Saccharomyces cerevisiae S288C: one gene and its partners. The protein of the gene in region 2 interacts with the protein of the main gene of each other region in a pairwise test. Each region holds a gene or a part of one and is shown on either strand. Other genes may lie near its edges. The genes, in order: MRP8, LSP1 and FLC1.

Region 1 (3,068 bases), on a different chromosome or scaffold from region 2:
TAAAAAGCACGAAGATGTCGAAGAAATTTAGCTCTAAAAACTCCCAAAGGTACGTGGTGGTACACAGACCCCATGATGATCCTTCATTTTATGATACAGATGCCTCTGCGCACGTTTTGGTTCCTGTCTCCAATCCAAATAAAACTTCTCCAGAAGCAGATCTTCGAAAAAAAGACGTGAGTTCAACAAAACCAAAGGGTAGGAGGGCTCATGTGGGAGAAGCAGCTTTATATGGTATTAATTTTGATGATTCTGAATACGATTATACTCAACATTTGAAGCCAATAGGTCTCGACCCTGAAAACTCCATCTTTATAGCATCCAAAGGCAATGAACAGAAGGTCGAAAAAAAAAACATTGAAGATTTATTCATCGAACCTAAGTATAGACGTGATGAAATTGAGAAGGATGACGCGCTACCTGTGTTTCAAAGAGGGATGGCAAAGCCAGAATATTTACTACACCAACAAGATACCACCGATGAAATTAGAGGTTTCAAACCTGATATGAATCCTGCATTAAGAGAGGTGCTTGAAGCTTTAGAAGATGAAGCATATGTTGTTAATGATGATGTTGTGGTTGAAGACATCAGCAAAAAGACACAACTTCAAGGCGATAACTATGGAGAAGAAGAAAAGGAAGATGACATTTTCGCACAATTACTAGGGAGCGGTGAAGCAAAAGATGAAGACGAATTCGAGGATGAGTTTGATGAGTGGGATATTGATAATGTAGAAAATTTTGAAGATGAAAACTACGTTAAGGAAATGGCGCAATTTGATAACATCGAAAACCTGGAGGACTTGGAAAATATCGATTATCAAGCTGATGTTCGAAGATTTCAAAAAGATAACTCTATACTAGAAAAGCATAACTCGGATGATGAATTTTCTAATGCAGGTTTAGACAGTGTAAATCCCTCTGAAGAGGAAGATGTGCTGGGCGAATTGCCCTCTATCCAAGACAAAAGCAAGACGGGGAAGAAGAAAAGAAAGAGCCGTCAAAAAAAGGGTGCCATGTCAGATGTATCTGGATTTTCCATGAGTTCAAGTGCCATTGCGCGTACAGAGACGATGACAGTACTGGATGATCAGTACGATCAAATCATCAATGGTTACGAAAATTATGAGGAAGAACTAGAAGAGGACGAAGAACAAAATTACCAACCATTTGACATGTCAGCAGAAAGATCTGATTTTGAGTCAATGCTTGATGACTTTTTGGACAATTACGAACTGGAGAGTGGTGGCCGTAAACTGGCTAAGAAAGATAAAGAAATTGAAAGGCTGAAGGAAGCTGCTGATGAAGTAAGCAAAGGTAAACTGTCTCAGAGAAGAAATCGTGAAAGGCAAGAGAAAAAGAAACTTGAGAAGGTCACCAATACACTAAGCAGCTTAAAATTTTAGAGGAGTAGAATGAGATGAGAAAGCACCTACATTACAAGTACTGTGTAGACATGTATACTTAGCCTAGAATGCATTGATGCTAAAATACATCCTGCCCACCGGGTAATAATTATGAAACGCGGCGGTGCTCTTTGTGGATTTCGGAGAAAGGGGGTGGAGGAAGGAGGTCGATTTTCATTATTCAAATATTGTTTTAGTATAAAGAAAACCGGCGTGCATTGCTTCAAAGAGCCGTTCAAATTAGTAACCGTTTGAGATATCTTGTCTTACTACTCGTATTCCGCAGATAAAGTACATTTTAAGAAAGGAAGTAAATACACATAAATAAATAGCAGGAAGAAAATGTCTAACGAAATTGAATTACTGCAGAAGCAAGTCTCTGAATTACAAGACTTAGTGAAGAAGCAAAGTCTGATTATCTCTAAGACAGGAGAGCGTGTGCTGGAATTGCAGTTAGATAAACAAAAGCACGACGTAACTGATTTTGATTCGAAATTCTCTAAATCTATCTCGAAGAAATCAGGATCCGCTACTCAATTCGATGCCACTGATTTTGCCACAAATGAAGATCTAGTGGAATTAGTCAAAGAACTACAGGGTGAGCTAAATTTCATCGAGGAAAGGTCTATCAGAAGACTTGTTAACTCTTTGAAAAAAGATGATGATGACGTTATAGCGCCACTGCCTAATGCAGATGGTGATATTCCTGCTATTTCAGACGGAGTGTTCCCTAAGTCGTTGAAAGAATTTAAAGACATCCCAGACTTAAAACTGGTAAGACTTGCTAAATTCTACGAAAGATTGCCACCAACTCTAAAGGAACAAGAAGATTTTGAAAACTTCCTGGAAGGTAAGGTGGAAGCCTTTCACATTAATGAGACCACTGATGAAGAGATTTCTAAGGAGTTGGAAAAGTTCTCCAAAGATGAGCTAGATGATGCATTTAATGATGTTGCCCGCTATCTAGGTCTCTCCCTTAGAAGAGGAACCGAAATATGGTAAACAGAAAATGAAAAAAAATGAAAAATCAATGAATAAGAGGGCTTGAGTTCCAGGTTCTAGAAATTTCCCTCACTTATATATATATATATATCTATATACATATAGTTTTGAGTATATCATAACAGGATTCTCTTTCAATGAAACCTATGTTTTCCGCGGCATTGCAGTTAAAGGATGTTCTAGTGGTGAAAAAGAGAAGAAAAGAATTCAAAGTTTTCCTCCCATAAGTATACCTATACTTTTTATCTGTGATTGAAAGCTGTATACCAACAGCCTTCTATATATTACCTTGTATACCATTCAGTAGTCTTAAGCATCATCTAACTTTTGACCAGGTCCATTCTGATTGGCTGCGGTAGCCCGCTCCGTTTTCCGCTCTAAGCGTTTGGTACTTGTATAAATGTGCACTGGCATTATGATATCGAGATCCCCGCATAGAAATCTCAGGACCAACCAAAAATTGCCAATCACAAGCTCTAAGAATAATAAACGATGTCTGCAATGATGGTCAAGTTAGGACTGAATAAGTCGGCTCTATTACTGAAACCCTCCGCCTTTTCAAGAGCAGCTGCCTTGAGCTCCTCGAGGAGGCTGCTTTTTAATACAGCTAGAACAAACTTCCTTTCTACCTCACCATTGAAGAATGTGGCCAGTGAAATG
Region 2 (3,296 bases):
TATTTTATATGTTGCGGATGAATTATTAATGCCATTATATAAAAATAGGTTATCAATAGGAACGTAATGGTGTGTGATAAGCTTTATAGCCTCTTGAACCACTGCACCTCCAAAAAAGGCCATTACGGAATAGTTATCGTCGACTCGTAAACCAATAAACTCATCTTTATCCTCTGCAGTTACTGCCGGTTGCTCCCAGAATTGGACCATAACTAATGCATCTAAAAGGGCATTCGAGGTGCTAAAAATACCTAACAAGTCACTTTTTGGCGGCAATATTTTCCTGACCTCCCCGTAATGAGAACAAAATGTCTCCAAGACATCCTGTGAAACTATTTTTTTACTGCGAGCCAAACTTTCCTCCACACGAGACTTGTCAAGCTTTGCTTTTACTTCATACAGTTTCTTGAGTCTGATATAATTTTCCGTTGTTGACTCCATATCTGGGAGAGTGCCCGTTAAAGGTTGAAAGCTGAGCTCCCCATTCTCTTTAGCAATATTTTTCAAAGTCAATAATAGTGTGAGAATCTCGTAGTTATAAGTATCATGCCAATCGTTCCCATAATCTGATATTTCCAAATTTCGGAGCAGATCTTCCAGTTCTTTACAACAATCATTTTGAGAGCAGGCCAAGTAAGCATAGCGTTTAGCTTCCACATAATTGGGTTCGTAGATAACATCATTCCCTAAAGGAAGGCAAATTTGGTCTAAAACTTTCTTCATCTGATCAATCGTTATCCTCCCATTATTACCATCCCTTTCAAGTTTTGCAATACACTTCATGAGCAAAACAGTATATGGAATACCAGAAAACGTGGCTGTATCCATTTTACTTAGGTCAAATGTATCTACGTAATTTATTAGTTCAGGCCAAGGGTTCTGTAACCGTAAATCATACTTCTTACTATCTGGGTGTGCTTGCAAAACAAAATGTGTTTCTGAGAGTACCAGATATATATATCCATAAAATCCAGAGACGAAAGTGTTTAGAACAGGCGGAAACTTTGTTCCTCTCTGCCGCCTAATCTCATTTAAATCGAGCATCGCAGTTTGCTCACCAATACAAGTCAAGATCACCACCGAGAAGCGGGTCCAATCATACTGAGGTTGCTGTAACGTCTTTCTAAGGTCATTTTCCTCATATTCTAGCTGTTTAGAAGCCAATGGCTCAAGATCTTTTTTAAGCTCTGCTAAAAACAGAGAACCCGATTGAACTGCACACTCTACTTTGAGCCAAGTAAGAGATGATATTCCGGCAAGCACCAGATTCTTAAAAACTTCCTGCAGCAAAGGTGTAGCAGGTCCTACCACGCACACACGGGACCGGTTCAAACTATCTTGGCCCAATGCTCCCCATAGTCTCAGCTGTCTATCATATCTTTCCATATTTTCATCTACGGCTGTCTAGTTGGCCTAAGAAAGAAAGAGAGGCGACTCATTTTTTTGACGTCAATCGTCTGACTTGTCCTTCTATTTCATTGCTAGGCTAGAAAGCTTAGCTCTTACAACCCCGCTCGTTGCAGCCGAGTGAAAAGGGGATTGCGAAAGGCGTTAGAGGGGATAAAAAGGGGCCCTTTAAAAAAAAGACGGAAAAACCGGGAAGATGCAACGGCTAAATCGCAATATATAAACAGGTGAGATAGAAAAGAAAAAAATCAGTTAACCTCTTTCCTCAATTCCAATGCTTGACCGTAAATTCTCTTTATTTGGTATACGAAAGATTAAACTTTCAAAGCTCCAACACAAGAATGCACAGAACTTACTCTTTAAGAAATCAAAGAGCTCCAACGGCTGCTGAGCTACAAGCTCCTCCACCACCACCATCCTCAACGAAGTCCAAGTTCTTCGGAAAGGCCTCTATTGCGTCTAGTTTTAGAAAAAATGCGGCTGGTAACTTTGGGCCAGAGTTGGCTCGTAAATTATCTCAATTGGTTAAGACTGAAAAAGGTGTCCTTAGAGCTATGGAAGTTGTTGCCAGCGAACGCCGTGAAGCTGCAAAGCAACTGTCTCTATGGGGTGCTGACAATGATGATGATGTTTCCGACGTAACCGACAAATTAGGCGTCTTAATATATGAGTTGGGTGAACTACAGGACCAGTTCATCGATAAATATGATCAATACAGAGTCACATTAAAATCAATTAGGAACATTGAAGCCTCTGTTCAACCTTCGAGAGATCGTAAGGAAAAGATCACAGATGAAATTGCCCATTTGAAATATAAAGATCCTCAATCAACAAAAATCCCAGTTTTAGAGCAAGAACTAGTTCGTGCCGAAGCTGAATCTTTGGTTGCGGAGGCTCAATTATCGAATATCACACGTGAAAAATTAAAGGCTGCTTATAGTTATATGTTTGATTCATTAAGAGAGCTTTCTGAAAAATTTGCCCTGATTGCTGGATACGGAAAGGCCTTATTGGAGCTGCTAGATGACTCTCCTGTCACTCCAGGTGAAGCTAGACCAGCGTACGATGGCTATGAAGCTTCTCGCCAAATTATTATGGATGCTGAATCGGCCTTGGAATCTTGGACCCTAGACATGGCTGCAGTCAAACCAACTCTTTCATTTCATCAGACCGTTGATGACGTCTATGAAGACGAAGATGGTGAAGAAGAAGAAGAACCTGAAATCCAAAATGGAGATATCCCCGGTCAAGTAGTCGAAGAAGAGGAAGTTGAATGGACTACTGAAGTTCCTGTAGATGATGAAGCCCATGAGGCCGATCATCATGTTAGTCAAAACGGTCATACCTCCGGTTCTGAAAACATCTGAGTTTTTTCTAATAATTAATATATTCGAACCTTTCTATATTGTGCTTGTTTTTCACCAGCTCGTGTCTACCTATTATTAATTTCATCTGAATTTGGTTCAAGTATTGTTCGGCCAATATTCCGGTATTGTAATCACCTTTATAATTAATTGAACAAATTTTATAAGACCTAATAATTAACCTTTCTCTTGTTCTCCTTTGCCGTAAGAGATTCAACTTTTCGAAGTCTAATTAAATGAATATGATCTATGAAGTATATATGTACAATAAAAATGCCTATATTAATAAAATTCCTGTCCAAATGCCAGGGCACTTATGCCTCCCTCATCAAACCTCCCCAACTATTCTCCTCTTTACTAGCTCTTTTTTGAAAGCTACATCATTGTCTTTGATATACGCCATTCTTTTTTCCAAAGCAGCCTTTGTGGCTATTGCTTTAACCCGATTTCGATATTCTCTTTTTTTCTGGGAAATGTTTGAGGGTAGGTTTGTGGGCTTCTGATGATCTTGTGCTGTATTGGTGC
Region 3 (3,760 bases), 420 kb from region 2:
GCGAGACACCGGGGTATGACTTGCTGTTAGGCGAAGAGCTGGCGCGGTCAGGAGAAACCTCTTGTTGTGTTATCTTATCCGGAGCGCTGCGCTTGAAACTGCCCAGTTTACTCTTATTCCTTTTGATTGATAATGAACGTAAAACCTTTTCAGAAAAGGTTGGACGGGTGGTTTCCTTACTGCTACTTTCAGCATTCTCTGAATTAGTTCCTGTTTTCTCGTCATCGTATTCAACTCCGAAAAGATTATCTTCACTTTTACCTTCTTGACTCTTCAGTTCGTATTCCCAATTTTCGGTATGATCCTTTGCCACATTACCTAGGGCCATTAATTCGTTGGCCACTGACTTATTCAAGGCACCTTCATGAGGAATAGCATGCTTTTGGAAAGATGCTCTGTCATCCTTTGCTGGCTTGAACCTGGAGTCAGGATTCTTAGAAAACAGAATGATTGTGGTAAAGGCCAGAATCATCAACAGTAGAAGCAAAGAAAACGCAGCATTCATAATGAAAAACACCCAGCCCATGATGGCAGAGACAGCATACTTTTGGTTAAACAAGTTTGAGAAAAACATGAAAAGGAAAGAGTTGACCAAGGTGACAGTGCAAATAAAAATGTTGACAATATTCGTTGGACGGTCCAAATATGGTTTATAACGGATGATGGCAACAAAATACGCCAAGTCAATAATGAAAATAGCCAATGCTTGCGTTTTACCTGATGCCTGTGCGAATCCGACAAATAAAGCTTTTACAAGAATATACGTCGTTAAAAGAGCATTCCACCAATAATGTTTTGCGTTGAACATGGTGTAGAAAAACCCGTACTTGTTTAAGACGTACTCATCACCATACAATAAAGCAGCTGGGTTATTGTACATTTCCACAGATTTACTTGCGAAAAAAATGGTTCTGTACGCAGCCCACGCCATCAACCCGCATGACAATACAATGAATAGGCATGCAATAACAATAACACCGGCGGAATCCCGTTCAGTGAACTCCCAAAAACTTAAAATTGTCAGTTGCGTGAACCCAATATAGATGTATCTTAACAACGATCCTTTCAGAACTGACCTCCAGTTTTTCCTAAATTGGTAAAACCTATCACTCCGCATCCAACCACATCTTATACATAACTCGATACTGTATTTGCAGGCCATGATAAACCCGGCCAAAAAATAACCGCACAGCACAAAGAATGTGAACCCAGTACAAACGATGGCCGTATTTTCAATCTTCATACGGTATCCCATTCTTTTAATTCCTCGAAAGATTAAAGTGTTTGAGTTACCGTACAAGACATTTTCCGCCCTCTTGTAAACCGAAGTATTTTTAAGGTAATCCAGACCTCGTTGAGTGAGCACTGACATTGTTGTCGCGGTCAAATATAGAGATGCGGAGCCTCCAGTCGCCTCTACATACCAACGGAAGATTTTCTGCATAAATGTAATACGGATCAAGCCCATCGACCAGGCAAGGTTTTCAGACCAGGCAGCAGCAATGGGTGGAACACTGTCTACATGTTGCATTGCGACCACAGCGACAGATTGGAAATATAAGAACAGTGACATGGTGTTTGCAGAAATGTGAGATGCTGCTGTGGAGTTCCCGAAGGTGGACAAGACAGCGGAAGTTAATAAACCAATACCGGCGATAACAGCTGTCACCCATTTAACCCCAATTTGTGATACAGTTTTCCCATTGGAAAAGAAAACCTGGATACAAGCCAAATTTTCACTTACGTTGTTATAAATGTTCAATCTTACGTACGCATCAATATCGGGCACTTGGTAGGCAATTCCCGGAATCATTTTCACGTACTTCTGGGCAATGTATTCAATGGAGTCGATTTGTATGTTACCTGGGTGCACAGGGCAAAACTGCTTCCAACCCATTGAACACACGTCGAAGTTCTCCGTAATAATCTTGAACCCGTAGGCATACACGTCCACATAAGCGTAGATGTAAGAGTCGATCTGCGTGGTCATATCCAGATCGTAATGTAGCGATCGATCGTCTGGAGAAAACGACACATCGAAACTATTGGCTGAAAGCTGTGAGTTCTCCATGCACGTGACCAGTGAACTCGCTGTCAGTGTCCTTTTCTTGGCGGCCACTGGTAGTACCAGGCATGTGCATATTAGACACCAGAGCGTCACTAGTACTTGCATTCTTAACGCCGTTTTTGGTCGGGTATGTGTGTCAATAATGAAAATAATCTCTTTGCTGCCAGGTATTCTTTCTTTTATAAACCTCTAGCCAGAAATATCCGTGCTTGATCTTTCTGCGTTTCTTTTTTCTATGTGTGCCTCCGCTTATTTCTTGTTCTTTCCCAAAAAAATTCCGCAGTTTCCCAAAACGGCAATGTGAGCAAGTATGGTTAAGTTAGTTCTCGAGCGATCGGTTCAGATTCGCATAGCAGGATTTTGCTTAAGAAGACTCAAAAATAAAAATCGGAAAGAAAGTGAGTATTAATATATAAAAAATGCAAGGAAAAGGAAGAGAGCTTGGTCAGCACCCGGGACAGAAGGCCAGAAGATGGGTCCTTTAAAGTGTCAGGTCTTTAGCAGGTGCGTAGGAAACGCATGTGGTAGCTCGTTTCGTCATTAGCGTCTCGTAGTGGACAATAACGATGGATACGCAGTCAAAACGGCGGAGACTGTTTCTCACTGTTTTTACCCTTCTTGTTCTGCCCGTCTCTTGTCTCTCTCCTCCTCTCCGCCTCCGCCTCGTTTCCTCTCTTTTTTTTTTTTTTTTAATAATCTAAATAAGTTTTCGTGTTCGTGTCCGGTGCCAGTCGTTCGGCTACCCTTGTCTCTTTCCCCTTTTGAGTTTATAAACGACTCTCCGAACGCGGTGTACGTGCTTTTACACCGAGGAGATACCTGAGCAATTGGTGACTACCGTGCCTACTTGCGCCATATTACATGTATATATATATATGTATATATATAGCTATGAATGTATAAATACATCTGTGGTCATTTAGCTACTGCAGGAAGCTTGCATCATAAACTTAGCGTCATCTTGGTGGGAAAGGTCAGCCCATTTTGTCTCCAGTTCTGGCCGCAGAGTGACATCCCATTTCGTGCGGTCGTATGGGTTTACGCTCATTAGGTATAGCTTCTTCAACGCAGATGTATCTAGCTCCGAACTGGGATCTTGTAGGCCATCCCTTTGACTGTACATTAAATCGTCGACTACTTCCTCCAGTACCCAACTTCTGGGGACAAACAACGGGTTGGCTTTCTTGGCAAGCGACGCTCTTGCAGCAGTTTCCGTGGGTGGGACCAAGGTCAAATAGTCTTGGGTCCAATTGCGTATTTCTTGCAATTTTTCGTTGAGCAAACGCAATTCGCCGTTAGCGTCAAAGACCTTCTCACCAGCCGCGAAGGCCTCTTCAGTTTCTGCCATTTGCTGCAGTTGCTTGGAGTTGAAGAACATACCCAAGTACTCTTCATCGAATGCTCCAAAAAGTGTTGCGGTGTCACTTTTATCTTTGATGAAGAAGGGCCCCTTGTAATTTTGTAGATGGATAAAAAAATTGTTATAGTCGACTTTTGTGGCCTGCAGAATATCTAGCAATGGTTCGACGATAACATCGCAGAACTCTTTAGCCTTCTCGGCTGCATGTTCGATATCTTTGAGGTTTGTAGAAGACATGCACTTTTCCAGATCCAGATCTACACCGAGTCTTTGAGACATTATCTGCGCGTACCTTGTCGTAAACACATACTTGTACTCATTAGCACTGAGCT

What was found.
Region 1: the proteins of LSP1 (region 2) and MRP8 interact in binary tests that used the Saccharomyces cerevisiae proteins (3 or more experiments, as listed by UniProt).
Region 3: the proteins of LSP1 (region 2) and FLC1 interact in a protein complementation assay, tested with the Saccharomyces cerevisiae proteins (2 studies listed by BioGRID).

What each region holds. Positions count from the first base shown.
Region 1 is NC_001143.9:176,767-179,834, forward strand, and holds MRP8 (Mrp8p), read left to right. Parts: upstream 1-1,748; coding exon 1,749-2,408; downstream 2,409-3,068. Other genes in the region: ribosome biogenesis protein LTV1, read left to right, coding at 15-1,406; succinate dehydrogenase cytochrome b subunit SDH3, read left to right, coding at 2,901-3,068.
Region 2 is NC_001148.4:550,110-553,405, reverse strand, and holds LSP1 (lipid-binding protein LSP1), read left to right. Parts: upstream 1-1,748; coding exon 1,749-2,774; downstream 2,775-3,296. Other genes in the region: ULA1 (Ula1p), read right to left, coding at 1-1,386; AEP3 (Aep3p), read right to left, coding at 3,100-3,296. UniProt on the Saccharomyces cerevisiae protein: Together with PIL1, main component of eisosomes, structures at the cell periphery underneath the plasma membrane that mark the site of endocytosis.
Region 3 is NC_001148.4:131,456-135,215, reverse strand, and holds the start of FLC1 (flavin adenine dinucleotide transporter), read right to left. Parts: upstream 2,174-3,760; coding exon 1-2,173. Other genes in the region: FMP40 (Fmp40p), read right to left, coding at 2,988-3,760. UniProt on the Saccharomyces cerevisiae protein: May be responsible for the transport of FAD into the endoplasmic reticulum lumen, where it is required for oxidative protein folding.